Linked DNA regions of Caenorhabditis elegans. The protein of the gene in region 1 interacts with the protein of each later gene in a pairwise test. Each region holds a gene or a part of one and is shown in the gene's direction. Other genes may lie near its edges.

Evidence for each region.
Region 2: the proteins of Y52E8A.2 (region 1) and T14G8.2 interact in a two-hybrid assay, tested with the Caenorhabditis elegans proteins (one large-scale study listed by BioGRID).
Region 3: the proteins of Y52E8A.2 (region 1) and ccch-2 interact in a two-hybrid assay, tested with the Caenorhabditis elegans proteins (one large-scale study listed by BioGRID).
Region 4: the proteins of Y52E8A.2 (region 1) and hlh-11 interact in a two-hybrid assay, tested with the Caenorhabditis elegans proteins (one large-scale study listed by BioGRID).

The regions. Positions count from the first base shown.
Region 1 is NC_003280.10:4,317,384-4,324,028, forward strand, and holds Y52E8A.2 (RING-type domain-containing protein), read left to right. Parts: upstream 1-3,452; 5' UTR 3,453-3,471; coding exon 3,472-3,560; intron 3,561-3,609; coding exon 3,610-4,012; intron 4,013-4,065; coding exon 4,066-4,152; 3' UTR 4,153-4,234; downstream 4,235-6,645. Other genes in the region: Y52E8A.6 (UNC93-like protein MFSD11), read right to left, coding at 24-294, 368-457, 1,757-1,880, 1,929-2,004, 2,049-2,145, 2,192-2,379, 2,429-2,586; Y52E8A.1 (RNA helicase), read left to right, coding at 4,683-4,862, 4,909-5,055, 5,102-5,173; H20J04.6 (Transmembrane protein 222), read left to right, coding at 5,877-5,962, 6,015-6,099, 6,150-6,275, 6,324-6,533.
Region 2 is NC_003284.9:12,853,868-12,861,153, forward strand, and holds T14G8.2 (F-box domain-containing protein), read left to right. Parts: upstream 1-4,133; 5' UTR 4,134-4,151; coding exon 4,152-4,231; intron 4,232-4,345; coding exon 4,346-4,856; intron 4,857-5,167; coding exon 5,168-5,445; intron 5,446-5,499; coding exon 5,500-5,674; 3' UTR 5,675-5,766; downstream 5,767-7,286.
Region 3 is NC_003282.8:16,275,276-16,281,672, forward strand, and holds ccch-2 (C3H1-type domain-containing protein), read left to right. Parts: upstream 1-2,926; 5' UTR 2,927-2,938; coding exon 2,939-3,259; intron 3,260-3,308; coding exon 3,309-3,548; 3' UTR 3,549-3,735; downstream 3,736-6,397. Other genes in the region: F38C2.7 (C3H1-type domain-containing protein), read right to left, coding at 1,505-2,116; clec-191 (CW domain-containing protein), read right to left, coding at 4,359-4,473, 4,518-4,600, 4,651-4,745, 4,809-5,082, 5,149-5,439.
Region 4 is NC_003281.10:9,619,137-9,629,005, forward strand, and holds hlh-11 (Helix-loop-helix protein 11), read left to right. Parts: upstream 1-3,010; 5' UTR 3,011-3,066; intron 3,067-3,131; exon of another isoform or gene 3,132-3,274; intron 3,275-3,343; 5' UTR 3,344-3,361; coding exon 3,362-3,411; intron 3,412-4,364; coding exon 4,365-4,640; intron 4,641-4,688; coding exon of another isoform or gene 4,689-4,693; coding exon 4,694-4,917; intron 4,918-5,134; coding exon 5,135-5,554; intron 5,555-5,803; coding exon 5,804-5,999; intron 6,000-6,188; exon of another isoform or gene 6,189-6,337; intron 6,338-6,647; coding exon 6,648-6,777; 3' UTR 6,778-7,392; downstream 7,393-9,869. Other genes in the region: tbg-1 (Tubulin gamma chain), read right to left, coding at 7,541-7,855, 8,411-8,616, 8,671-8,880, 9,080-9,342, 9,391-9,627. UniProt on the Caenorhabditis elegans protein: Transcriptional regulator. Component of a feedback loop involving atfs-1, atgl-1 and hlh-11.

The DNA.
Region 1 (6,645 bases):
AAAATTCCCTAAAAAATACAAACTTTGGCTCAAAAGTCCCAACATTCTGTGTAGGATGCAATGGTGCATCATATGGGAAGAACAAATAAATCAGTACAAAACATATCAAATGAAGTACACAAGCAATCACTACAATCATATCTTTTCCGAGTATTCTGACACGTTTTCCGAGTACTGAGAATATTCCACCAGCTACAATTTGACCAATCCCGGTTGCAATTCCACTCATCGCTAGAAGTTTTGCGGTGTTATCTCCGAGTGCGGGGGTGAATTTGATGCAGGTTGGGTAGATTGCTGTAAGGTTTCAATTCAGCATGCCCATGTGCCTGCCTTCTGTAGCCACAAGCCTTTTGTAGGCACAACTTACCAATCCAAAAAGATCTGGAAAATCCTGTATAGAGGAAGATAGAGACCAGGAGGAGCATTGGAGATTCACGCATTATTTTGAACGTGGCTTCTGGAAATTTTTTACCAAAATTTTTATAGAAGGCTTTTAATTTTTAAGTAAAAATTTTTCTGAACTGGTTTTTTTTAAATTTCAAACAACCTGAAAATCCCATATATATATATATTTATTCAAATCGTCGTAACAAAACAGAAAGTATAGAATAATCACCGGGAGAAACAGACTTGAATAATTTGAATGATCCTGTAAACCAGAAGTAGTTAAGGGGATCAAGTTGGGTGGGAAAAATAATTAAACGGGATAGAATTTAATCGTGATGCAAACATTTGACGGCTCATTGTCCCCGGAAGTAACTTGGCCATACGGTTCCATAGGTGAAGATTGACTAGTAGGAAGCTTTCGTTGATTGATCCACAAGGGCACATCATGTACGGATATCTGGGTGAGCGAGCCTTCCTCACAGTTGATGCGGCATTCGGAAAGTGGTATTCACCAGACATGATGTTGTGATAGGTCCTCAATATTTGAAGAATCCGCAGGTGTTGAACTGACTTTTGGTTCATCTGAGCTAGACGGTTTTCATATGATGAGTATGATAGATTGCAGCGTTGGAAGACTCTTCTCGAGAAAAACTTCAGTGGCGACTCCAGTTGTTTAATCAGATTTTTAGAGATCGGGTTGTAGATTTCACATCCGTAGTTTAATATTGGCTGCACATAGATATTGTACAATTTGAAGTAAAGGCTGGCATTTGTTGAGCGGAAGGATCGAAGTAACTGCCGGCATTTGAGAAGGGCTAAGTTCGAAATGATGTTTATGTGCTTCTGGAAGTTCAGCTTGTCGTCGACGAAGATTCCAAGGTCTTTCACTGAGTCCTTTTTGGTGATTTTCATTCCGTTTGCATAATATTCATTTTTTGGATTCCGCTTTCCAAAGTGAATAACATTGGTTTTGTTTTCAGCAAGGTTCAATTTCCATTTTGCGCACCAATCCGTCACGACATTGATTGATTTTTGAATAGCGCTGACATTGTCACCAAGTAACTTGATATCATTTAATGTGATTTTTTCGCAATTTTCTCTACTCCGAAAAATTTTGGAAAACATTTCAAAACTAGGTCTCATACTGTTAGGTAGATAGATAGGCAGGCAAAAAGCAAAAAAAATCTGCCTACTTCCCTGACAACCTACGCCTGCCCGATGATGGGCTGTATATGTGCCTACTGCCGAGCAGCTGAACTTTCATTAACAGTCAAAATGAAATAATCTTCAGTCAGTGACATTGTGCTCACACTCAATTTAGATTAGGTGGTAGGCAGGCAGGCATAAAGGCGACCTACCATAAACTCACTCAATGTCTTCGCGAACGTCTCATGCTTCTTTCTCTCCGGAACATACACTGATTGTGGCAGAAATGCCGTGTTAATCGCCGCCAATAGAGAAATGGAACAACAGATATAGACGAATGTTTTGTACTGAAAATTGGCAGAATTAGAAACAGATGGATGTTGGAAATACAATACATCTCCAGATTCCAGAAATTCGTTCATTTTTTGATTGTAGAACAGAACGTAGAGAAATATTCCACCACCGAGGAGGCTTGAAAAATCAAAATGGTACAGAGAATTGATGGAAGTACTCACCAGAACTTAAAAATGAACCAAGTCAGAGCAATATTTCGTTCAATAGTTTCACTTGTGCAGTTTTCCGTCAGATATTTTCCCTGGCCAACCCATATGACTGAAAGTTTCAGAACATTTGCGAAGCCCTCCTGATTCATACTTACAAGCACCACCGACACCCAAACTCGCTGAAGTAATGTACACATAATAAGTATTCATATGTATAAATCCATATTGAAATGCAATATATGCCGAAAATCTCAGAACCATTCCCCATTTCGCGGAAATCTTATCAATTATTGGAGCAACAAATAGGCAAGAAAGTGTGAAAAAGAAGTAAGTTATAGCAAAACTAAAATCAGTTTTGCTTTTGAAAAAGTGACCATATAGAAGAGACAAACCTATGATAACCGGCGTGAGGATCAATATTCCCACCGGTTTTATGCTTTTCCTCGATAAGTGGTTCTTGTATGTATTCTTGACTCATATAAGCAAAAAATAGGAGCAAAAATGAAATCGATAGTCGGAGCACATTTTTCGTCCCTTGGTCAATAGCCATATCCGAAATCGGAAGCCTCTAGATTTTTATTCCTGTAAAAACTACAAATTTGAAACAAAGTTTCAAAAAAAAGAAACTTGAAAAAAAATAATTTATGACTTGGAAAAAATATCAAAGGTTTATGACAAAGACAAAAACTAGGCACTCTACTTTTTGTCATTTTTTATACTATCCAACAATATTATTCTTCTCCTTTTTCAGTCATCAGTGAAACTTTTTTCCGAATAATCCAGAAATTTGCATAATTCCCTTTAATTTGGAACGTTCAATTCGAGAAACTTGTTCAAAAACCGTCAATATGTATCGAAACGAGGAACTAACACAGCCAAGCATCAAGTAATTGTATTTTTACTATAAAAGTGTTTTTTTTGGAATTGTAAATAAACCTTTTTCAACATGTGGTTTCCTCTTAAAACCTCTTTTATTTTTAATTCTGTGCCTGGAAATTTCAAAGACGCGGCGGGATCTTGGCCCGATAAAACTTTGTGCGCCTTTAAAAATGGGTACGGTAGGATTTAATTTCCGCTTTGGCTTTTTCGTTCAGAAAGATGTCAATTAAATTCAAATTTTCCTTATTTTATTTGTTTTTTTTTTGGAAATAATATTGAAAAATATATAAATTATTCAACAAATTCGAAATTCTTAATTTTACCTCCATTTAAATTAATTAACTACTCAATCGTTGCGAAACCCGTGCAAGAATTATACCATGTCCCTTGAAGCGGTACGGTAGGCCCACGTTTTGTTTGCCACGCTGGATTTATCGATTTTTCGGATCTTTTCTGAATTGTGCAGCTTTCTCTGTGTGATTTTGTCGTTAACTGGTTTTAAAAATATTATTTTTCCCAGAATATATTAAGTTTTAGAGTTTATCGATTGGAAATCATGGTAAACACGTTGGAAGGCCTAGAATCGACGAGGAATTTGATTTTGAAGGAAAATCCAATGCGACGAGCCGCGGAACTTGTCGCCAGGTATTTTTAATTACGGCATTCAACTAAAATTTTAATTTGTATTTTTCAGACTATCGGCAGATGAAGTTACGATGCGTGCCGCGAAATACGAGCTGATCAAGTTCAATCGAGCATTCCAGAATTTCATGCTAGTGTTGGATGAGAATATTGAAGAGATTCTGATGTCAAACGACAATTCTACTCGAATTCAGCTCAAGAAGCTTCCGGAATTTCCATCCTTCTCGGATTCGTTTATGCAAGAATATGAAAAAGCTCTTCTGAATGGCGCAGAGAAGCTCAAAGCTTCAACCTCCAGCGAAAAAGGATCCATCCCGTCAGTCTCCTTTTCTTCATCAATTTCAAGCTCTAGCGCCGAGCTATCAGATGCTCGATGCCTTATCTGTCTGGACGACGTTATTTCGACTGAAAAAACTATCAAATGCAATTCGTGTAGACGTCGGTTTCATCTCGATGTAAGATTATTCATTTCAAAAACCTTTTCATAAATAAATTTCAAAATTTTCAGTGCGCTTCCCAATGGTTCAAGGAAAAGAGCGTTTGTCCAGCTTGTAATCGAGGGATGCTGGATCCAACGGAATTTCCATCTCTTTAATACCTCGTTTTAATTAATTTTTCAATAATTTCATGTGTAATTCGTTTTGCTTTTTAATAATTACAGTTGTAATAAAACTATAACATAGCTTTTGGAGTGGTTTCGACGTCGATCAGAATTTTTCGGGATGTCGACTGAACTTGACTTGCATAAATTCAATCGCCTTAAAAAACACAGAAATTCGAACTTTTCTTATTTTTTTTCGGACAAAAAATTGAGAAAAAACGAAAAATTAATTTTTACAAAAAAATTAAAAATAAAAAAAACTCGAACATTCTATGAATTTACAGCCAAAATCATGCCAGACGCAATTCTACCGGACAATGATGATGATTTGGAGATGAATGAAGAACAGGAAGAGCCTCCTAGCTCAGGAAACGTGAAAAATGAAGATTTTGAGGAAATTGAAGAAGCTGTCAAGGGCGAGGAAAAACTAAGTTTCAGATAAAGAAAAATCCGATGGAGAAGAAGGCGATGAATTCAAGTCATCAGATGACACCCCAAAGCCCATTCAAATCTCCGAAGACAACATGACAACTAAGAAATTCTCCCAGCTCGGCGTGTGCTCCTGGATCAACCAACAGCTCGAAACTATGCAAATTAAAACTGCGACGCCGGTTCAGGCGGCTTGTATTCCAAAAATTCTCGAAGGAAGCGAGGAACCGGAGCCGGTCCCGGAGCATGAAATTCTTACTGTTGTAATTAACAAGGTATACATCCCGAACACATCCAGTATACTTATACAGATTTTTTCAGACATCCAGTCAACATTTTGGATGCCATATTACAATCTCAAATGGCATCGCCAAGGTTCTTTCGGTTATTCCAGGATCGCCGGTAGATGAAGCTCTTTATGCTGGTGACATAAACTTATCGATCGATGGAATAAATATTTATAATTATGTAAGAATTAGATTTTTTAAATGTAATTTTTTGTATTTTTTTGCAGGGAGGTTTAAGAGATTTCAAGAATCGAGGAAACATCACTTTGAAGGTCCAACGCACAATTGAAAAACAATAACTTTCCTGATTTCTTTTCGTTTATGACTTCCAATTGATTGATGAAGATTATTTTTATTTCATTATTGATTCAAATTCATTTTTCAATGTAAAAAGATGGAAAAAACAGATATTCAGAAGTGAACTTGAAAAAGAGACTTTTTGCTCCCGCCTGGATGAAAAACCTTCGGGATCTTCAACATTTACCTATCTCAACTTTGGTGTTTCCTTTTCAGTTTCATTGTTATTCAGTTTGTCTTGGCTTGTACTTTGCACATATTGTCCATTCATACCGCAATTTGATAGCATCTCTTTCGATCTTTGCCTGATAAAGACTTATGCGCCTTTAGGAATGGGTAGTACGGTAGGGTTTAATTTCCGCTTTGGCTTTTTTGTTCATAAAAATTCCAATTAAATTAGAATTTTCCTATTTTTAGTTGCCGAATAAATATTAAATTTTCTTATTATTCCAAGTTTTTTGCGCGTACAATACTGCGCATTGTGTGCAGTTTCGCCGCGCGGTGTTTGCGGACATTTGAATTTTCGATTTATTTTTTTCCAGAATTTTGCGTTTTTCGATTGTTTTCCTTCAATTTTGAGGCGATTTTTTGATTTTTCGGCTTAAAATTATCACGAAATTTTGTTTCATACATTTTAAACGTTTTAATCACCTGATCTGCTCGTTTTTTTCCAATTCACCAGTGTCTATCTCCATTTCTAGGTCAATGATGCCGCTCACCGACCGTGACATCTGCCCAGAAAACAATCGGTATCCATACTGCATTGTTTGGACTCCGATTCCATGCCTGACGTAGGAAATATCTAATTTTATCCCAATAATCCAGCTAAAAATGCTGTTTCAGTTGGTTTTTCCCATTCATCGGCCACATGGGAATCGCGAATAGCCGTGGAATCATTCGAGACTTTGCTGGGAGCTATTATGTGGCGGTTTGTGCCCAAATTCAATTTATTACTTCCAAAAAGTAGAATATTTTTAGGAAGACGACATGGGATTCGGCTGGCCCACAAGATACTGGCAATTAGGCCCGGAAAAGGTGGAAGGTGGCGCGGAAGTCTTCGATAGAGCAGTTCAAGATGCTTCCGACACGTATAAAACTAGAACTGTACGGTTTTTAATCGATTTTTCCGATCAATATTTCATTTATTTCCAGCACAATCTCATCTGCGATAATTGTCACTCGCACGTGGCTCTGGCTCTCAACAAAATGCGCTACGATGAGCGCGAGGACTGGAATATGATCAATTTGGCGTGGTATTCACTGACAAAAGGAAGCTTCGTTCGTAACACGGATATGCTCGCTCAATACCTTCCATTCGTTATAATTGTCTTCATTTTCGTTGCGCTGTGGGCTTTTTTATAATTTTTGACCATGGGAATTCTACAAAATGACCTATTTCATTATGTTTTCCAGCATATTTTCATTGAAAATTAGATTTATCTAGAAACAGCATTTATTTCAGCCGAAACAGTTG
Region 2 (7,286 bases), on another chromosome or scaffold:
GATCATTTTAAGCAGTTCGTCGATTTTGTCGATTTCGTCAATTTAATATTAAGTTTTTCAGATCCCTAAGCATAAAAACGGTAGAACCACTGTTAACAATAAACGTGCTACTCGATCGTGAAAAAATTGAATGTGTACTACGTACTACGCACGTATACAGAAAAAAAATACACAACGGAATGTGTATTGAGAGAGCCATCTTCAAACCACATTTTACAAAAATTTGAAACCATGTGAATATATATTTTATTGAATTTCTGAACTGAGCTTATCGCATTTTCTAAAGATTAATATACTAAGTGGTGGAGGGGACTAAAATAGCAACATGCAAACAAAAAAGAGTTGGAGTTCTGAACAGAGGAATCGAATAAACGTTGCACAAGAATCGATAAACTGCTTGGCTAGTAATTAGACTTTGTAGAGAACGTTACTGACTACAGAACTAGAGAAAAAGAGCGAAGACCCGATGTGCACACAACAGATGTCCAGTCGCGCATCAAGGGAACATGTGAGCTGGTACACGCCCAAGGCTCTTCTAATTGGTATAGAGGATTAGAAAAATCACAGGAGCACACAGATTTTGAGTTTGATCACTGATCTTCATAGATTCCCGTTGATTTTTTTTATGATTCAGAACATTTTCTGGAAAAAACGTCAAAACCATGAAATTTACATATTCCCATTAAAACCTCCTACGCATTTGTCATGTGACGTTTCAGCACTATATAAGAAATCAGTCTGTCTTAGAGCATCATTGTAAAATTTCAACATGAAATCCTTTTCTATTGTCCGATCCGTCTTCCTCTTCCTTATGGTATTTCTTCTGGTCTCTTTGGCTACAGCAAAAGTGGAATTGGGATGTCACAACTGTAAAAGCATTTGCATCAAGGATATGTGTGTCACCTATTAATCCGTCCGACTTCGTTGTTCAATAAATAAGTTGAATTGTTAAAAATTTTCATCAAAATGAATGGGCCGAACCGGGGATTGAACCCGGGACCTCTCGCACCCAAAGCGAGAATCATACCAATAGACCATTCGGCCATGTTTCCTGGACAATCGCGCGTCTTTCAACCTCCGCCATTCCTTTGATTCACAGCAGCTGCCCATTTTGCGCGTCAAATTAAACGTTTTCAAGGGAAGTCTTTGAGGGGGTCCGTAGATTTGGGGTTCTCATGCTAAAATTCCTACAGAAGAGTGTTAGTTATGATCTCTCCAAAAAATTTAGCTGCCCCGGTCAAGTTTCAGCAAAGTTATGACGTTTTGAAATTTCAGTTAAAAACACCATTGAAATCCACTGTCTTACCATGCAATCCACGCAAATCTCAGCTTGCGTGACCACCGAAAATGTGACACCCACCACATTGAGTTGAAAAATGTCCTCGGTGGCCGAGTTGGGAGTGCGCGCGTCTGATAAGATTTAAGCTTTGGTTCGATTCCTTCTATTTTTGAAATATTTTTGTAAGTTGAATAAAGTTGTAAAACAACTCATTCAAACATTTTTGCGCATTTTTAAAGTGATTTTATTCTTATTCGGGAACCTAGAATCATTGTCCGCACTTTTTGGAAATTTTTATTTTTTTCATTTTTGTTCAAAATTTCTTGATCAACTCCAAGCAAAAAAATCAAAAAATTTCATTTTTCTAAACAATTATGAAATTGCTATGTTGTTGTTCAGAAATGTATGAAACGTACATTACACAAGTTTTAACTCTCTATTCGCAAGTAAACCGTCGAAATGATCTACATCTCACGAACTTTGTGCAAAATATTTAACCAACTTTGAAGTTGCATAACTTCGTTGAGATAAATTATTTTGAAAAATGATCAACTAACAAAATGTTTGTTGAATAACAGTGAACAAAGTTTTAGTTATAAACTTTTTGATACCTCCAGCTACAAAGAAGAAAACAAGGTTGGCATTTGGCTAGTTTTTCTATTAACATTGTGTTTTGGAAAACGGTCACAACTTTTTGGTGGCTGAAGGTATCAAAAAGTTTATAACTAAAACTTTGTTCACTGTTATTCAACAAACATTTTGTTAGTTGATCATTTTTCAAAATAATTTATCTCAACGAAGTTATGCAACTTCAAAGTTGGTTAAATATTTTTCACAAAGTTCGTGAGATGTATCATTTCGACGGTTTACTTGCGAATAGAGAGTTAAAACTTGTGTAATGTACGTTTCATACATTTCTGAACAACAACATAGCAATTTCATAATTGTTTAGAAAAATGAAATTTTTTGATTTTTTTGCTTGGAGTTGATCAAGAAATTTTGAACAAAAATGAAAAAAATAAAAATTTCCAAAAAGTGCGGACAATGATTCTAGGTTCCCGAATAAGAATAAAATCACTTTAAAAATGCGCAAAAATGTTTGAATGAGTTGTTTTACAACTTTATTCAACTTACAAAAATATTTCAAAAATAGAAGGAATCGAACCAAAGCTTAAACCTTATCAGACGCGCGCACTCCCAACTCGGCCACCGAGGACATTTTTCAACTCAATGTGGTGGGTGTCACATTTTCGGTGGTCACGCAAGCTGAGATTTGCGTGGATTGCATGGTAAGACAGTGGATTTCAATGGTGTTTTTAACTGAAATTTCAAAACGTCATAACTTTGCTGAAACTTGACCGGGGCAGCTAAATTTTTTGGAGAGATCATAACTAACACTCTTCTGTAGGAATTTTAGCATGAGAATCCCAAATCTACGGACCCCCTCAAAGACTTCCCTTGTTAGGTCGTAAATGTGACGTTCATACGCAAACACCATACTCGTTTTTGTTGTGAGTTTTCTAAATCTGAAAGATTATTAGAATATTTGTGAAAACTTATAGAGACAGAATTACGAGTTCAATTTCATTTTTTGTTGTCATAAGCGAGAAAAGGGGGTGTTTGATTTGAATTGGGTATTTTTTGGGTAATTTCGTTAATTGGGTAAGGAAGGGTATTCTAAATTCTTAGAAAATCAGAAAAGAGCAGTGAAATGTTTGATGAAAAGGCCTCGAGTCACGTTTTGAGAAGAGATCCTAACAGATGGCTCAAAATTTGTACTGAATGGGAGCCCTGCCACAACAAAAACTGGAAGAGAGCAACTGGTTAACCGAAGAAACGATGGACAAAAGACATTGACGACGCCTTCAAATCGTTTAACAACCCGAGGCTCTTCAAGGAAGAGTTGTAAAAGATTTGGAATCCTTTCTCCAAAGGTTCCATGGTTATAGAGCGCCCGCACTGAACGTGAAAACTGGAGAGAATTTGTCCGAAGTTGCTTGTTAACTTGATCCAAACGGACTTCAAAGTATCAAAGTAAGTAACTCCAGTAGAGAAGCGCACATGCTGAAGAAGGCACCCTAGAAGGTAATGAAAAGGTGGGAAGAGGTACTGGATGTGAATCAACATGTCTCAACTACCAACCAGTATAGTTGGTACATCTTCAACTTCGCTATCTGCAATCTTTATGACGATGGTCGAAAGGATTTATGTCACTATTGATTGAACATGAAGGAGGTTTACGGGGTTGAAACAATTTTAGTTTTTCCCCACAACTGGACACACAATTTTTTCTGCATTAGATTTTGTCAGCTCCAAAACTGTTGCACAGGCTCACCTGCTAGAGACAACTCTCTCGCACAAAGGTGAGAAGAGACGGTGGTGTGGGTGGTTTGTCTCTCCTTTTATAGTGTTCATAAATAACCTATTGATTGATTTAGATCTCACCGTTGCTGGGTTGCTAATGACATGTAGACTCTTCTACTGTTTTTAGATTTTAGTTTTACCCGGTTCTTTTATGAAACGACATTCAAATTAGGTGTTTGATATTCCGAACAATATAATGACTTGTGTTCGCTTCATATGCGTTCGCGTAAATATACACAAAATATTTCTCTCTCTGCGTCTCTATAACTAACTTCATTCTATCAATTGGAGAAACATTCAAGCGTTCGGATTTCAATCAAATCTTCTGATTAGTTTCCACTTTAAAGTACTCTTTCTCAAAAAAAAAACGTAATACTAACATTTAAAATTTCCTTCAACATTTACCCGTAGGTGTTTTTTATCAACATTCTTTTCATTCTTTCTCATACGTGTCGTATTTCTCGCACAATTCATCTAAAAATCTAATCCTGTTTCAGGCAATATCAAAATGAACGATGGTTTCCAGCTGCTGCGTCTCCCTCACCTTGTCATGATCAAGACTTTAAATTTCATGCCAATTGAAGATCTGTAAGTTTTAAATAGTGAATAATTTTACTAAATGTGCATTGAAATATGTTTGACACTCACAACTGTTTTTATTAATTGAAAAAAAAACACTTCAAACTAATATGCAATTTTTAGACTGCAAATTTCGGACAATCCTCTTCTGTATAACTCAATACGTGAACATGTCAATACCGAAAAGTTCACAGTAAACTTTTATACTGATCAAAGTCAACTAAAAATCAAAGGTTTCACCTGGCTATTTTACAAAACCAAATTTTGGGATGAAAGTGAATCGATAAAAACCATTGGACCCGTTACTGAAAAAGCTCATGTATTTAAAAATACGTGGTGGACTCATTCCAAAAACCATCGCGACATAGTTGTGCAACTGGTCCATTTTTTCCAAAACTTTTTTATGAGAGCCAAATTAGAAACTATTCTCTATATTGCCACTGAAGATAGAAATGAAGAACGGATATCTCAAATGGATCTCAAATTTCTCAAAGAAAGCCAGTACATTGTTCGTGATGATGCTTCTCAGACAATTCATGAGTATTTGAAAATGTTTTCGAATAACAAGCAGCTTGTTGCCATGGACGGTTTCTCCGATAGGGCTAGAATTGCGAGAACGAAAATTACCAGTAAAGTCAGATTTCATAGAAATTTAATTGAAAAATTCTAACTCAAAAAATTATGAATAAAGTAAAACAAAAATGACACGTCAAATTTAACTTCATCACTAATAACAATGTATTCCATCTCAAAAGAAATTTCAACATAAAAACGAAATTTTTCGTGTTGTATCTACCGTTTGAGCTAATTCTTTATTGCTATCGTCTTTTCCGGCACGCTTAATCAAGATTGAATATTTCGAAGTTAATTTTGATGTGGAAGTTTTTCATAAAATATGACTTGTTTTTCATTTTCAAATTTATAACACAGTATCATGCTTTTCAGAATTTTACAAGTGGAAAGTTGCCGGTGAACCCAAATGAATGGTTCGAATACGACTACTTCCATGAACGATTATTCGAAATTGTTCTCATCTCAAGACTTATTGTGGATAACCAAAACATACAAACCATAATAAGCTCGTTTGTGGATGGAGAAACATTTGAGAGATTGAGGTTTTTGCACTGTCAAAACGCTGACAATATCGATTTGAGATATGCACTCCAAGGAGTGGCCGCTATTGAGTGGACAGAAAACAATGTTTTCATGGAAAAATTCAAAGGGTGTGTTTTCTTCACAACTCATTGGTTCACGAAAAACTAAGTTTTTTTTTTCAGAATTCCGGCCATGACAAATTACTTCATCGAGACCGGCTACATAATATGGGATTCCAAGGGCAAAGTGGCAACAGTTCATGTGGATCCCGAAAAATCAACGTTCACTCTAATTGGCTGGGAAAATATCATATCTCCGAGGCTTATGACGGCTCTTTCTAATTTGGAGTTTAATTAAATTTTTAGGAATCATATTGCCGACGTAATAATGTATTTTTTATAATAACATGTCATTTTATTGAAAAACAATAAAATATGTACATACGCGAACCATGTTCTGATTGTTGTGTTGAAAAATAAATTCTCAAATACAGCATGACAACCATGACGTAAAGTGTCCAACGCTACACGGAGAGCAGTTTTCCAAAAAACCTATATTATTAGATATGATAATCACTAATTTTCGAATTATTTTTTCGAATTCAAATATCCGTCTTCAAATAAATATTCGTTAAAGATATTGTACCTTGCGCAAATTTATTGTTTACCTTTAAAACATCCGAGCATTTTTTGCTTCATGGTTTACCTATTTACTATCTTAAATTTACAAACTGTTTTAGATATTATGCAGTAAGATAACAAACCGTTACTACTCCTTTAGAATTATTATTTCCACCGTCAATTTATTGATTCAAATACATGGTTACTTTTTGCTTAACATTTTTCTATTAATATATAAGAAGCAGGACTATGCGGCTGGTAATTCGGGCTGGTAGAGCAAATTTAATGTGTTTCGTGTGTGAGCAAGTACTAACTTGGAAATAGTTAAAACTTCGGTAGAATAGTGTCTGCTGAACTAATTGTCTGCTGAAATAAGTAATTAGAAAACAATTTTCAAAAAAAAAAAAATCTATACACACGTTTTTTGAATACAGCCGACACCTGAGAACTTCAAGACGGTGACTGATTTTTTTTTCAGAAACAGACCCATTGGCCAACCTATTCAAATTACATAATTTTTTTAATTCGTTATTTGTTGAAACTGTGAAAAGTTTAAACTTGCTCTACTAGCCGACTTGCCAGCCGCTCAGCCCTGATAGGAAACCATGATCAGGTTTGAACTAATGCTCAAAAAATCCAATACACATTTGACCCGTTAGATGACACCTTTTCTATCCTTCGACGTCCATCATTGTGCTCTGTTTACTCTCATTACGCTCCGAGATCGATAATGACCATTTCTTGATGAGGATGAGGGTAACTGAGCATGATGTGCCCAATGTATTCCATTGATTTGTTTTTGTTTATATTGTTGTTTAAGTTGTTATCTTGATATTCACGTGTTTAAGTGTTTGAAAAATACTTTTATAATTTTTTTAAATAAATTTAATCTCAAAGATTTTATTATCACTTGTAGGAAAAACAAACTACAAAAATAAGAAAATGAGTACTTATCTTTCGGAAAAATGTTTTTATCTGGAATATGAGATGAAAATCTGTACATTTCTCGTCTATTGCTCTCCATTTTCTTGTCTATTGACCCAGTTTTACTCTAGTAGTTCTTACCTCCAACGTGGCCTCTCCCATGTTTGCGCAGAGAGGTCGGTTGGCGCGTTTCTCGTTCCTTGACGCGTTTCCCGATTTAAAGGATTTTCCCCACTCAAAACTTTGTTTTCTCTGGTTTACCTATTTTAAATATAGATTTTTGACTCAATTTCATCGATTAAAATTTTGTATTGATGCTTTTTAATGAAGAATTAAAACTTTTTTGGGTTTTTTCCGAAAATGTTCGAGATATTTTGATTCTTATTACACGTCAGCATAACGGTAATGCTCCTATCTTACGTCAC
Region 3 (6,397 bases), on another chromosome or scaffold:
TACAGTCGCCAAAAAAATCTGTAAAAAAAAAAATTTTTAAATTCCTAGAAATTTAATTTTTCAGTTAAAGACGCTCAAATTTACAAAAAATTAGGAAGTGTCCAGAATATATTACAAGACCCGACATATTCTAAAAATTAACGCTTCAAATTTAATATAACTATTTTAATGTTTTTCTAACGTTTTCATGACAATTTCATGATGTTTGAAGTAATAGTTCAATAAAATATTTATAGCAAATTTAAAAATTTTTACTGTTTCCATTCTCTCATTTCATTAAAAAAAATTATTAAAAAATCAGTATCTCGAACCAAGACACCAAGACCCAAGACACCGTTAAAATAGTTAAATTGAATTAGAAAAACAGTTTAAATTTGCTTTTTTTATTTAAAAAAACTGTTTCTAGGAATTTTAAAATTGATTTTTTGTCAAACTGGGACTGATCATACAAATTTGGAAACCGTTTTTTTTGCTGAAAATGAAAATGTAAAAAATTTAACTTTTTCAGTTATAATATTGTTTCAAAAATGTACTATTACTATTAATACATTTTTTGTTTCTTTAAAACCACATTTGTAAACATAACAAAGTTTTGCAAAATTACAATGACCTTATTTTCAATGATTCAGCACTTTTTAAGGTGGAATCGATCTACTTTGTGAGCTAGACTAATTAATACAACTACAGTTTTAAAATAACATAATGAAACAGTAGAAACTTTTTTGAATAATTCAAATTTTTAATTGCTTTGCAGCACTGTTAATGTAAAAGACAAAATTCAAAGAACTTGTTGCTTGTTTTTTTTTAAATTTTAACCCTAAACCCTTCAACCAAAAAATTACTGTTTCAGATGCATTCTGAATAAGTAAATATTAAAAAAATTCTGCTCCAGTGTGCACAAAATATGGTGCTTATAATGTAGAAAAAAAATTTTAGTGCGTATATTGTTTCAAATATGCACTAATCCTTCAAAAAAAAAACTCAAACGTGGAATTATGTACCCATTTTTTATAAAACCACATTTGTGCGCCTGTTTTTTTCAAAATCGATCAAATTGTTTCAAATTAGTTCTCAAAATGTGAAGTTTTTGAGATCTAAAAATAATTTTTGAGATGAAAATTTTTACCAGTTTTATGTTTTTCATTAATATGATTAATGATTTGAAGGTTACTTAACCATTTCCAACTATAGTTTTCATTTTAATACAAAAACTAAACTTAGATTGATTTTTTAAAATTTTCGAAACACTGTGTGTTCCAAATATATGTATAATTACAAATTTGAAAACAAAAAAGTCAAAATTTATTTTTTAAAAATATTTCAGATTCAAAGCCTTTATAAAATTTTGAGACAGATGGGTAGAACACAGATAGGAAAAGAATTTTATTACTTTGTAAAATAATAGAAAATGACAAACGATAATTGCCAAAAATATGGAAAAATAGAGGAAATATTGAGCATTAGGGAATTTAAAAATTAATATAAGATAACAGGATTAAAAAATTCATTGAAGAAGAGCTGAGCAATGCCAATTTGGCAATAAACTTGTTGAGTCCAGAGCAAATGCACGAAAAACGTCCGATTGAACATTCAGGTCAATGGTAATATTTTCCATTTTATTTGATTGATTTGAAGAAGTTGAGTTCATAGATCTGTGGATGAACTGACACCTGATTCCGTACTTGCAATGCCCAGTTGTTGAGAAGTTATTGCAAAGTACTGTTTTATAGTTACGGTGGTTTCTTTTGGTCTGTGGGAAGCGGAGCTCATGTACACTGTGAGCAAATTTACATTTTTCACCATAAGCACATTTTTGGCCTCTTCTGTGAAAACCACAAAGGGATGTCTTGAATGCTTCTTCTTTCTTTTTCAAACTCTTCATTTCTTGGTGAAGCTCATCTGGAATTGTGCAGGGATCTCGGTTGGCCAATGATTGATTAGAAAACAATTTTTGTTCAGTTTCATTTTGATTCACAAAAAGTGAGAATTGGGCTTCTTCATAAGATCCTGATGAAGATGGTGGAGAAAGCAATGGAGGGGTAGTTCCAGCTGGGAAAGCACATTTCAGAAGGAAACTGGAGAGAGAGTTTTCTTGGTTGCTTGCTTCAACAGACATTGTAGAAGTTTTGGGTAGTTTCTGGAAAAAAATAATGAAAAACGATATCAAGAGAAGAATTTGGTAGAACGATTAAAAAGAAGTAAAAATTAGTGAAAAAGTGGAAAGTCAAAGATTAAAATGGTTTCGTCTAACTGGATCCTAGCAGAGTTTCAGAAAGATATTTAAAAAAAACAAAAAAATTACTGCTTCAAACATGTATTATATGAAACATAGTGGTCATAGTGTATTGAATAATATTTTCTGTCTAATACAAAACATAGAAATAACATTTTAGAAAACAACAGTTATTAAAAAATTAAAGTAGCAAAAAAGGATCAACCACTCATGATGAGAGTAAAATGTGTGAATGACATATTTGGCAGTCTATCTTCCGGAAAAAGAATGAACGCTGCAACAGCATCTAATCGATAGCAAGCTCCGCCCATTTACAGGCCACACTCTCTGTGAAAAGGAGACGATATGTACCAGTAAATGGGCGGAGCCTAACCTAGCTATCGATTGGATAAAGTTTCAGCGTTCAAGAGGTTGCCTGATGACAGGATGACAATTGTGTCATTCATGCAAACAACTGTCATCCTGGGCGGTCGTTTTCTCATTTTTTCGCTAAAATATTGTTTTTTTTTGTATATTTTTCATTTTTGCCCGACTTGTAACGGTATCTAAAACTTTTCTTTGTTGCACTGTATATTTTGTATGTCTATTGAAATCTCTACTTTGAATGCTATTTTGCCTTATTAAGGATCAATTAAAAATTGAGTTAGAAGTTTTTTCTGAGATTTTTGTTAACTAAAACAGTTTAACTTTCAGAAACCCCTCAAAATGTCTAATCCACTTGCCGTTGACGTCCCAACTTTTACCAAATTGCACAATGTTGCTCAGTGGCTCTCTCAGCAGCCACCTTCTCCAAGACTGTTTGATCAGAAAGAAAATGGCTTCTCGCAGAATTTTCAACCATTCTTGAAGACAGTAAACTCATGCACAATTCCTGACGATCTCCACGAAGAAATGATGCGATTGAAAAGAAAAGAAAATGCATTCAAAACTGCTCTTTGCAAGACGTTTCAGCTCACACGAGCATGCTCATACGGGGAGCAGTGCAAATTTGCTCACAGTGTCGAGGAGCTGCAGCTGAAACAGAAGGTAAACTTTGAGCTCAATGAAGTTTTAATTTAAGTGTTAAATTTTTCAGAACCGTGGAGTCAACCACCCAAAGTATAAGACAGTTCTCTGTGACAATTTCTCTAGAACTGGACACTGCAAATATGGGACAAAATGTCAGTTTATTCACAGAGCTGTTGAGCCAACTCCAGCTCAAAATCCACTGATGCCCCAGTTTTCTTCATGGTTTGCTCCTTCATCGGGTCTTTCTCGGGAGTTTCTTGACAATTTTGGAGCATCTGCATCCAGCTCTAGCACTGACTTCTCTTAACTTTATTCTTTCATAATTTGTTTTATTCCTAATAACTTTTAATTATTGTTAATTTTCTATAATTACCATTATGTTTCTAAATTAATTTTTATCTGGAAATTTCTGGGGTTTTTGTCGAATCCACATTTATTTTTGACACTTTTCAAATTTTTCTATTCTGAATCATTTTTGAATAAAATTTATATTTTTCTTCGCAAAATAGTATTTGTCATGAAATAATTTTCCAATTTATTTATTACGGGAGTTACTTTTTTTTTAATTTGGAAAAAAACGGCACTGTTTCATCTAGTTTTTAAATTTGAACGTTTTTTTATTATTATTACTATACGATGTTCTCTTAAAAACAAAAATTTCTATCAAAATTTAAGTTAAAGTTAGAATTGAAATTTGACTCATTTTCTCATTCACATGGCACCAGAATGTCAATGCTGTGACGTCTCAGTGTTTTTTCCAGAATTTTATTTAAATGCAAACCTATGCGAACCCTGTGGCACTCAGTTGTCCTAAACAAAAAAGTGAAAAAAATCTAATTTTTCATGATTTCAAATTGTATATTTATAAAAAATACATATTTTTAAAGTTTAATCTTCGTATTGAGAACGTCTTAGTTGTAAATATGTACATTCAAAAACTACATGAAACTGTAAAGTTTTTTTTTGATAAAGTACATTTTTTTCTAAAAAAAAAACAATTTCTATTTAAAAACTGAAGAATTATCAATTTCACTGATCATTTAGCAATACAGCACACTGAACAATTTGTTTATAGCATAACACTCTGGATATTCATTTTTAATTTAAAAAATTAAAATTATTTGAATTGGTATCCGCAGGCAACTCCGATCGCTACGTCGTACGATGTACAGTTAACCATATTCAGTTTTAGATCACTGATAGAGCTTATGACTGCCAGACAATCCTGCTGGCTGAAATCACTGAGAATTGTTAAGAATTTGAGTTAAAACCTTACTTATTAACATATCCTGGATCCCAAAGAAACCCCGGTTTTAGCAGCTCAGTATCAATGGTATAGCCGTCGCTCCAGACAAAATTCTGCAAAAAAAAAAACGTAATTTTTTTTAATTTTTCAAAATTTGACTTACTTGACACGTTTTATTGGTGTTAGAGCTACAGTCTCGCATTCCATTCAGCCAAATTCCATCCCATTGTCCGGTTTGCAGAGGAGCTACTATGAATTCTGAAACATTACTTTTTAAAAAAATTTGAAAAATATTATTTCTGATTCCACAAAAAAGTCTACCTGTCAACCAATAAACTTCGCTACGGGTTGCAAGCCCTGTCATAATGGCACCATTATCTACACAAGTTTGCAGAGCAACCGTACGATTCGTTCCAAGTTTCAGTTCGAAAAATTTGAGACAGACAAAAATTGAGTCGGGTCTACTGAACAGGGTCCAGCCGGCTTTACATAACCGTGTGGTCCAGCCATTGCCAGATTTCCATGTTTGGTTTCCAGGACGCTTAATATCGGTTTCAAATGGGAAAGCTGGGCAAGTATTGTTTGGTAGATCAGCCTGTAATTGGTTCAAAAAAAACAAATCAATTTCAAACAATTTTGAAAATTCAAAAAAAAACTCTACCTTCACAGCTAAATATTGACCAACATCTCCCTCGTCGCTCTCAATTTCCCGAATCTCATCAAAGCTACTGAAACCGAATAAGTTACAGTACCCACTACTGTTCCAGAACGCCAGAATAAATGTGGATTCCTCGAAACAGTTTTGTACGCAAGAGTCTAGATCCGTAACAGTTATAGATATAGCTTCTTTGTTGAATTTTACGATTTTTCCATAAAATAACAACATTTTCTCAATTGGCATAGCCAATTTGATGAGAAAAGCGATTTTCAGGAAGAAAACCAGTAGACGCATGTTTCTGCAAAACAAAAAGAGGAAATTCGCCAAAAATTCCTTTTGCCTGGTTACCAAAAAATGAGACGTGGCACTTGACACATACAAGTTTTTCATTTGAAATGTAGTCAATATTTTTCCAAACTTGATGGAAAAGCTATACAAGTTTGGGGAAAGTTTGAAGCATACAAAAATAATTCTGTTTCACAATATTGATAAGTTTACAAGCACTTTCGACCAGCTTTAATTGTTTTCAGAAGCACAATTTTTGCATTAAAATCTTGGTGTCCACTTGTTTCGGATTCCATAACACTTCGAATGGGCCCATTTTTGACATTTTGTGCACAGACAGGTGCCGTTTTTGCTTGCCATACGAATTAGGGAAAAACCGAGATTTTTCCAATTTTCAAAAAATCATATAAAGTTTAGAAAATTTTTTTGAGTTTTTTAAACATGATATTCGATCATTGTGGTACCATAGGCGTGTTTTGAAGCAATGTCCCCATTGACGCTACTCCACCTTTAAATCAGATTTAAAAAAATCAGTGTTTCAAAACTTTTATATAATTCTTCAAAACTAAATTTCGTAATTTCCTTAGACTGCGTGTTTCACACAAAAATCAACCAACTCACTGAAATATGTTCCATTAGGGATTCGAACTGGTTTTGATGTGGCAGTTAATCGCTAGATTCTTGATTTTTGAGACCTGATTTTTGAGAAAGAGCAAACGTTTGGGAGGTACTTTCAATTAACTTTTATCAGGAATATTGAATGGTAAATACAAATATGATCAACTACGGAATGAATAGGCGTGGCCTAGAGCGGTTATTGGTTAATGTTTATTTGTGTAAAATATTCAATTATTCATATGAAATAAAATAAAAAGTGAAATAAACATGAAGAAACAATGCAAGTGAAATTAAACGAAACTAAAATTTTGACACAAGTTTAACACTTGAAACAGTGAAATTTTTAAAA
Region 4 (9,869 bases), on another chromosome or scaffold:
TCCCGACCCCGTCGGTGCCCATCCACGTGCCCATCGTTTCTCTCGTTTCCTCCTCTCCGAAAGCCTGATGATCGTCGAACGAGTGCGTCAGAGACGCAGAGATATGTTCGGCGCTTCGCCTCCTTTTTTGCGACGAGAGCTACAGAGAAACGAAGAAATAGGAAAAGTATAGAGAAATTGTGAGATATAGAGAGATAGTGAACATGAGAGAGTAAGCAATAGAGAGAGAGAAGGAGGCGCCCGCTCCCTCAACCCCTAAGACCATTGAGGCGCTGCTGCTGGCCTTTAACATTTATGTGAGTGTGTGTGTGTGAGTGTGGTGTGTTTCTCGTCAGCTCCTTCTTCTCTTTTCCATCTCTTTTTTTTCCAATTTCTCCCTTTCTCATCTCAACCCCATGTTGCCTGTGTTGCTGCAGCAAACCGATCAGTCCACCACCACCACCGCTGTCTTCGTCGTCGTCGCCGCCGCGAAAAACTTTTTTCTCCCAAATGATTCGGAGCGTCGTCCCCCCCCAGCCCAGTCAGCCAGTCAGTCAGCCTGTGTATATGTCTATTTGTCTCGCAGTCTCTCTTCGCGCCCGGCTCCCCCATCTCTCGTCCCGCCGACGAACGTATTTCGATCGTCTCGTTTTTTCGGTTGTGTACCCCAATATCTAAATCTAGTCGCGATTGAACACCTGACCTATTCTGTCAAATCACACACACCCTTGCGTCTGTGACGACATTTATTTGCAACATGTTTCATATTGAATTCCATATGGTAAGAGTTCCATTTTTTTGATCAACAAGTTTCCTCTTGTTTGGAAAAATCTATGAAAAAGTTAATAATATTAATATAGTACCCATTATTACGAGTATTCAGGTGAACCCTCTTTCCATTTGACCTCCAAAAATTGCGGGAGTAGAAAACAGTAAGTCCCCACAATTTTAGAGGGGGTCTACCTCTATGATCTTACTGTACTCGACCATCATATCGTTCTTCCTAGATTTCTGATTTTCTGCCTCAAGTTTGTTATGATTCCATATGTTGTTATGTTTCTTTTTATCTTTTAGCTTTCTTTGTCTTCCCCCCGATAAATTATTTTATCTCTTATCTCACTCACTGTCTGGCTCGCGCCTACCGTATCATCGGAAACGAGCGTTTACGTTTGCCCCTTCGCTAGACAAGGTCTCGAAACGAAACGAGACGCGAACTGCAAACTTTTCTCCGTCTGTTTCTCCGTTGCGTCCAAATCTTCTTAAATCACTCTCTCCCTCTCTCACTCCACTCACAGCTGTTTGTGACCCCAACCAACAAAACTGGGGGCCGCGCCATCAGGTGTTTTCCCCATCCATCCATCTGTCTCTAATTCTCAGGATCCCTTCAGAAAATGTTTCTTGGATCGGTTGATGGGGAAGATCGCAACAAAATCCCTTAACCTTTATTTTGAATGATAACAGATCATTACCGTCCGAATAGTTCTCGATGTCGTTTTGTTCAGTGTCTTTCTCTTTTACTACGCCTTTGAACTGATCTCTTTGCCGATTTTGGTGATGTTTTGTGATCTTATAAGAACTATAGTGAGTATGACTATGAAAAATTGTTCCCAACCTTTAACGCGGTTTCAACTAAATCTTGACCAAGTTTTTCCGAAGTTTTGCCAAAACTATGGACGAACTTTATATGTATGTTATACACAAAAATTTAGGCAGGAAATTGCCTCCAAAAATTGAGAAATCTTCCTCTGAAATCTCCAATATTTTCACGATTAGACTCTATTAACCTATGTTCTATTAAGTATTTCATAAATCTACTACCAAATGTTTTCTAACTTTAGATACTTTGCGTGTTGCTCTATGTGCCCAGCTGTTCTCCCATAAATGCCAAACTTGACCAACTAGATCATCCCGTACACTTGCACACTACAGCTGATCAAACTTTTGTTTCTTTTTTAGTTTTATGATTATTATGTGAGAAGTAACTAACTTTTCGTAATTACCAAGAATTCTTAAACTAACTGGTCAACTGCTTTTTGTTGACTTGTCAATGGGTTCCAGGGAGCCCTCATTGTAAAAAACATATGGTAAGTGCAATTGGCTATCGTCTATAAGCTCAAGGAAGTTGGAACCAATTTTTTGTTGATATTTTTTTCTGTTTTGTCTTCTCCATTCCGTTTGAGAATCAGTTTGTGTGTTCATCGCTCTCTCGTTTCTCCGATAAATCGCTAATCAACATTTTTTCTCGGTTTTTTAAGAAAGTAGAAAGATCAAAACATCAAGAGCTCATATTTCATTTCTTGGGGTGAAATCTTGAAATCTAGCCTTAAATTCTTTTTTTTTTCTTTCTTTTTTTTTTTTTAAGACCGATTTATTCTTGGTTCTTCATATTTTATCAAGAGAGAATCTGAGCAAGTCCGTTTGTAACTTTTGAAAGACGTTTTGTGATTCTGCAAATTTATAGAGAACTGATTGTTATTAAAACATGGACTCTGTCGGCTTCACGAGATAAGCTCATCGTCAGTTAAAAATAATTTCATTACAAGAAACTTTCGGTTTCTAATTCCAATTTTGGCAATGTTCTGATGTTTCGATTACTCCCAAACTCTGATCATTCAAATTAGTATCATGAAACATTTTAAGTAAAAGTTGTTGCATTAAACACCTGAAAATGGATCACCTGTTCTTTCCCTCTCATTTTTTCAATTATAAACCCTTCAGTTTTTCTATTTTCTATACATTTAAAACCTATTTCATCTGCTACACTGAAACTGCCCTCTTCCTCACGCCTTTTTCATTTAATTTACATATACATTGGTACCTACCGTATGAAATAGACGAACTGCCCGATTTTGAATTATAAGTCGGTGTGTTTCGACCCTCGATTGCTTCCTCTTTCCCCTCATGTGTCTGTGTAAAACATGCCATATGACACACTGACAAACTCTTTTTTTTTTCGATCTTTCCCCTTCAAGAATTTTCGTGAAGCATCAGCTGTTGGTTTTTTGTCGCAAATAATTCCAATTTTGTAAAGTTTCAGGTAATCCAGACGGCTCCCATCGTCCCTTCGTAGTCTCCGTAGTACTAACAGTAAGTATTTATTTCTTATTTCAAATAATTCGTGGTATAATCATTGTTATCTTTGCCCCCAAGTGTTGCTTATCACAAAGATTTTCAGCTGGGAAAAGAGCCTATCTTCTTTGATTCTACAAAGAAAATGGCATGTCAGCCAGTCAGCCAACATAGTGGGGGAAAGGTGATAAGAGTTACGGGTTTCGGGAAACTTTTGTCGGAAAAAGAGAGAATAAGGAACAAATAGAATTTCAATTCGAGAACCTCAAAAATCAAAAAAGAAAATTTTTTTCAGGTAGATCAATAGTAGAAAATGGTTCGTTCGGATAGCGCAGAAGAAGATCAAATCATCATTGATGATGGGTAAGGATTTTTGTACTACATTTTTTGCTCATGGTTTTAAGAAGAAACATTCGAAAAGTAATGTATTGACATAAGTCTAAGCCGAGTTTTGCTTATAATCATAATATGGTTGAATTCCCGCCTTCTAGGCGACTAGGCAGGCGGTCTGAAGACGTGCCTGCCTACTATATATATATATATATCCAGGATCAGACTCTCATTTGATGAAAGTATTAAAATCTGAAAATAATTCGAAAATAAACTTTTTTTGCTCCCTCTAAACCTATCAAGTTTCCAAGTGAAGTGTTAAGTCTACAGTAACTTTTCAATAAATAAAATTCAAATAATTTCCCATGGCTTTCAATTCGTTCTCAGTGACACGCAACAAGAACACCTGGCTTTTAGAGAAAAACACAATATAGAGACGCAGATGAACTTTTCCTCAATTCTAAAACTGCATGTGGCAATTTGTACTAATAATTTCTCATAATTTTTGGAACAGAAATATTGAGATGTTAAATTGAAGCTAATTTATCCCATTTTCTTTCTTTTTTTTTGTGGAATCGTGGCATTTATTGAATTGATAGGTTCTAATTGTAGATGAAAAGATCAATATAAAAATCAGAACAACTAAAGCTAGAGTTATTTTAATATTAGTTCAAATGTTACCCATTGTCGGCAAAGTTCAAATTTAAGGTCTAAAATGTGTTTTATCACTTTTGGAATTTTTTTTTAAAATGCATTTATAATAATTTAAAACGACTTTGTGAATTTCCAATTTTTAAAAAATATGTTTTTTCTCTATCCTCAAAGGAGTACTGTACTGTAGTTGTAGAATAGAAAAATATGAAGATATTCACGAAAAAGCTTGCGTCTTGAGAAGGCATTAATTGGAAAGTTGAAGTTAATTGGCCCCAAATTATTTGATAAATTTCGCTTCTTGAACAACCTCATCTACGAACACATTTTTGCAGATTTGATCTAACTGAAGAGGACGAGGAGATGATGAGTTCGGGTACAGGTGCATTGCCCGTGACTATCGCCGACTGGAATTCCGTGACAAATGCACGAATGGCACCACCATCCATCATGTCAGCTGCTTCGGCATTTGATTTGACGGCTTCTGGAATGCAGAATTCGTTGCGTTCTGTCTTGCCTACCTCGACGATTGGGCATGCACCAATGCTCGCCAACCGGTCACTATCCCAACCGGCGCCACTTTCACCAACGTCGCTCGACCCCGACAGAAGGTTAGTTTTATAGCACTGAAAGGTGGTGAGTACTGTAACTTTATATAGTATAGATCCAGAATGCGTCGGCAAATTGCCAATTGCAACGAGCGGCGGCGGATGCAGAGCATCAATGCGGGATTCTTGGCTCTAAGAGCCTTACTTCCCAGAAAAGAGGGAGAAAAGCTGTCGAAGGCGGCTATTCTGCAGCAAACTGCGGATATGGTTCATCAACTTTTGGGACACAAAGGAGAAGATATACCTGACGGTGGAGAACCCAAAAAACTCAAACTTGAAGGTAAGTTTATATCTTATTGATATTTTTGAAAAGTGGAGTAGGATGAATGGAAACTGTGTTTCAACAAAAATCTGGATAATCTGAAATTCTGAAATTCCACAAAATAATTCCAGCCTAGAATGGCCTGAAGAAGTCTAAATCTTACTGAATCGTGCCTACCCTAAATCAGTTCAAACTTGAAATTAATATAAGCTGTTCAAATTAAATTTTGTTTCAGAAGATCACCACGACGCTGACCATCAAGCGCAAATAGCACATCTCCAAACAATATTAGAAACTGAACGAGCCGCCCGTAAGGCTTTGGAGAGTCAAGTAATTCAGCTCCGTGAGCTGCTCCAAATGACGACAACATCATCGCAAGCATCGTCACCAGTGACACCAAGATCTAATGGTTCTGGTGGTTTCACATTGCCATCTTCATATGCTTCATCGGCTCTTCCTACTCCGTTACGAGAATCACCGGAAAGGAAACCATCATTTCAAGATACAACAAGTACTCCGTTGTCTCTTTTGACACTGAACGGTAGTCCAACTTCTTCTGAATCATTGGCGTCTCAACGTATATTCCATCCGCCTCCAACATTGCCAAGTTTAGAGACAACTGTTATCCGTCCTACACCACTACCACCAATATCAGGTAATTTTTGGAAAGATATATTCAAAATTAGTTTCAAAAAGATTGAATGTCCAAACAAAACACTATGAAACGTTTGAGATGTTTCAAAATTTCCAGGCAATATTTTGGTAAATTACCAAATTTTTTTTTTGGAAAATTTGGTCTTTTGGGAAATTTAGAGTATTAAGGCCTAATGCATGGTAGCATTTTTTGAAGCCCTGGAATATTCAAATAAAACTTTTTGACTATAAATATATATAAACATTTAAGTTGAAATATCATCACCATCTCTGTCAACTCCATCACCTTTGACTGCCGCTCCAATAATCTTCTCAACAGCAGTTCCAACTCAATCGAGTATTTTGTTCCAAACAGCGGCGGCAGCGGTCACCTCGGCCATGTCTACCGGTAACTCGACACCCGTCGCATTGCCACATCATCTGCAGGGACATAATTCTGCGTTTGTGTGAGTTCTGTATATTTTATGGGGGAAAAATTATGAATTCAGTTTTCTGTTTTGAGAGAAGAAGGCTGTATGTGGAATGATCTACTTTCAAAATTCAATTTCTGAATTCAAATCTTCGTTATAAATTTAATTTTTAAATTTATTTTATGCTGATTATTAAATTTCAATTAAATCTTTTTTATAATATACTCTATACAGTCAAAAAAAATGTTGTGGTTACTGTAGGTTGCAATATTGCTATTATGAGGTCGTAGAAAAATCCCCCTTGTAAAATCGAGGACCGCCCCCAACAGCTGGGTCTCGTTAGGTATTGGGGGGCCAAACCAGTAATTCAAACTTTTTCTATTAGTTTCGCCAATGTTTGAACATTTTGCGTCTTTCTGGGTACGTATGCCAAATTGATTTTAAAAAAACTTTCCAATAAAAACAACCATTTTTCCAATAAAAACAACGAAAGACGAAAAACGACGAAAAACTCCTGAAAATTGGTACAATTATTTAATGACAAACGTTTGAATTCACGGATTTGCCGCCAAATACCTAACGAGACCCAGCTATGGAGGGCGGAGATTTTCTACGTCTGCATAATAGTTCTCGAGCAAACTTTTCGAATTTTTAAAAAAATTAATATGTTGCCATCAATTCCAGAAGCACACAACCGAGCCTGACCCTGTCTCAATCAATGCAAACAATTGTTGAAGCTATTCGTCATTTGGAGGGAAGTCATTTCATTCCAACATCTCCTCCACCAACCTCACAGACATCGCTCGTCCGTTGAGCCTGACTTTTGACAAATGTAGAGTTACAATTACAAATACAATTATCAAATTTTCCACGTTTCATAATCTCTCTCTCTTTCTCTTTTTCTCTCTTTCTTTCTTCAGGTTGATCCTGTTTTTTGCTCTTCATCTTTTTTCTCTCTCTCACCAGGCACAGTATCTATCATTTTTATCACAAAATTTGATGAATTTTTGTTCTTTTCCCATTTTTCTTCTTGTTTTAGGTATACTACTTGTTGTGTTTCTATGAAATGTTTTTTTCCAAAATTTTTTGTGCCGATTGTGGTCTTCTTGTCATTTTTCTTCTAATCAATCTAGCTTCCTTATTTCCCGCGCTCTCACGGACCTATCCATTGTTTCGTTCTCCCCACCGATAACTTTTTGTTTTTTCATTTTCCTTTTTTTCCAGTCTTGTTCATCTCCAGACACTGCCCCGTTACTTTTACACAAATCGTGTCGATTTCCTCTTTTTTTCATTTTTCACCCGGTGGTTTTGTTGACCGTATGTGCAGCTTGAAACACTTTCATTTTCAGACCTCAATATGTCTCTCTATTGCTATCGCGCAATAATCATAACTAAATAATTTAAATAAACCTCAATAGTACAACCACTGAGACAAGAGTACCAATATTTATGTGAAAATTATGATGATGATGAGGAGCACATGATATAAATAATACAATAAACACAGCATATGATAATCGACAGAGATCCGTTTTAAGAAGTGAATGAGAATCCCGCGAGAATAAATAATAATAAATCTAAAGCCCTCTTGTCAGATAGTCCTTTTGTACGACCGCCTTGTACTCGTCCAGCAAGTCTTGCACAATGTGCATTGCATCGTCCATCATATCCAGCGAGAAATTGTCAATCTTTTCAAACTTGTCGATGAAGGCTCTCTTTGATCGTAGTTTGTCGTATTTGGAGAGAAGCGATTCGAATAACGGAGCCACGCTTGTGCTGTTATTGAGCAAGAGTCCAGATACTTTGTATTGTGGCCGAACATATGGAGAGAGTGGAGCATGCATCATTCGAAGTGGTTTAAGCATGTAGAATGGAGGCCTTCTGATTGCGAACTGAAATTTGATTTTATTGATTTGATGCTTTAAGGTGGATTATAGAAAAATAACGAAAAAAAGTCATTATTAATCACTAATTTTGTCTTTAAAATAGTGATTTTATTGGTGCATTTTTGATTTTCTGACTAATGTGTTATTTGAATTGCCACGCTTTTGTCAAATTTCCAAGTTTCTAAAAATTTTTTACTTCATGTCAAAAATACTTTTTAAAAAAGTTTGCTTCACAATTGCTGATTCGTCAAAATAAGCGCTCATTTTTGCAATGTAATTTGAAGATTTTTTTCGTTTGCAGTATCTCGGTATTTGTGACCGCCTTCGTGTTTTGAGAATAAAATCTACATCTCCAAAATTAGCTTACGAAAATTTTTCGTTTTTCCGATATCTCGAAAAATATTTTTTAAAGTTGCTTATTTTTATTTTTAGAAAATATTTATATGCTTTCTTATAGTTTTCATGAACATAAACAAAATTTGATAAAAATTGAATTTTATGGTTGATTTAGTAAATTTATTTTTCAATTTTCCCGGAAATTCTTTAAAGTATTGAGCTTACATCAACGTTTTGCTCAGCAGTCATAATTGTATGTGCCTCAATTTGTCCTTGAAGGAACATGTAAGCTGATAGCATGCAGTCATTTGGCCGAACCCGAGAAGCAGTTGAAACCATCATTGAAGTTGGTTTTAACAAGAAGCGAGTGACGTCAGCGACTGAAGTTTTTCGGGTAAAGTTCTCATTTGGATCGACAACAGGAGAGATAGCTGCAAAAAACAAAATAAATAGATAAAATAACATATTTCGGAATAAAAACAAACCGGATTGAATAAAGTGCATTGGTGGAAACGGAGCCAAATCCAAATACCGAATTGATGGGCACATTGCAGAGTTGAATCGATATGGAGCAGTGGAAGTGCTCATGATTCGGGCGACAAGAGAATTGATATGATCAAATGTTGGTGTATCTGTTTTGAATTTTCCAGCCGCAAGACGGTGCAGTGCAGCATTATCGAGGACAACAACATGATCTGAAAACTATTTATTTGAAATTCCTTTTTTTTATTATTACTCAGATACAAAAATTGAGACGGTACCCGGTCTTTTTCACTTAATGCGAATATATGTGAGCCTTTTAAGGGTACTGTAATTTCAAACGTTCGTTGTTGCGGAATTTTCATAGATTTTTCGATAAATCATTGTCATTTCGTTTTTAATTTATTAACTTACCAGGATTCTCAATAAGTCTTTGCATAGAAAGTACCCAGTTATATGGATGAACAACAACGTCAGTACTGGTGTCACTATTTGCAAAAACACTGTAAGTTTGAATAACTTTCTTCGGAAATGCTTCGCGAAGCCTTTCGAGCAAGAGAGATCCCGTTCCAGATCCAGTTCCTCCAGAAACACTATGAGTAAATAGAATTCCATCCAAATTGTTCGTATTTTCAGCCTCTCGAATGATGATATCCATTATCTTCTCTTGAACTTCTCTTAAATATTATTTATCATTGATTTTCAATTAAAGAAATACAACTCACTGTCCTTGACAATATCCACTTGCCCAATTATTTCCAGCACCACCTCCGTGATCGGACATGAATATATTGTCCGTATTGAAAAGATTCGAAAAGTTTGGAGACTGCATCATTCCGTTGATTACACGAGGTTCTAGATCGACTAGAACTGCTCTTGGCACATAATGATCGTCATCAGCCTGGTAGAACAATAGATCTTTCTTATCATTCATATCGTCTTCGTGAGTTGTTTGTCCACGTCTGAAAACGAAAAAAATTGTTATATTTATCAAAATTATGAGGCTGAATTATGACCTTGAATAAATTGCGTCTTAAATTATTTAACTTAGCAAAAATGTTTGTTTCATCTCAAACAAAAGTAAAATAATTCATATTTTGTTTTCAATCATGTCGATTCACGAGAACAATTCACAATTGCAGCATTTCAGTATTGAAATATAAAAATTGCAATAGTTTTCACATTTCGGACTGTGGTATATCGA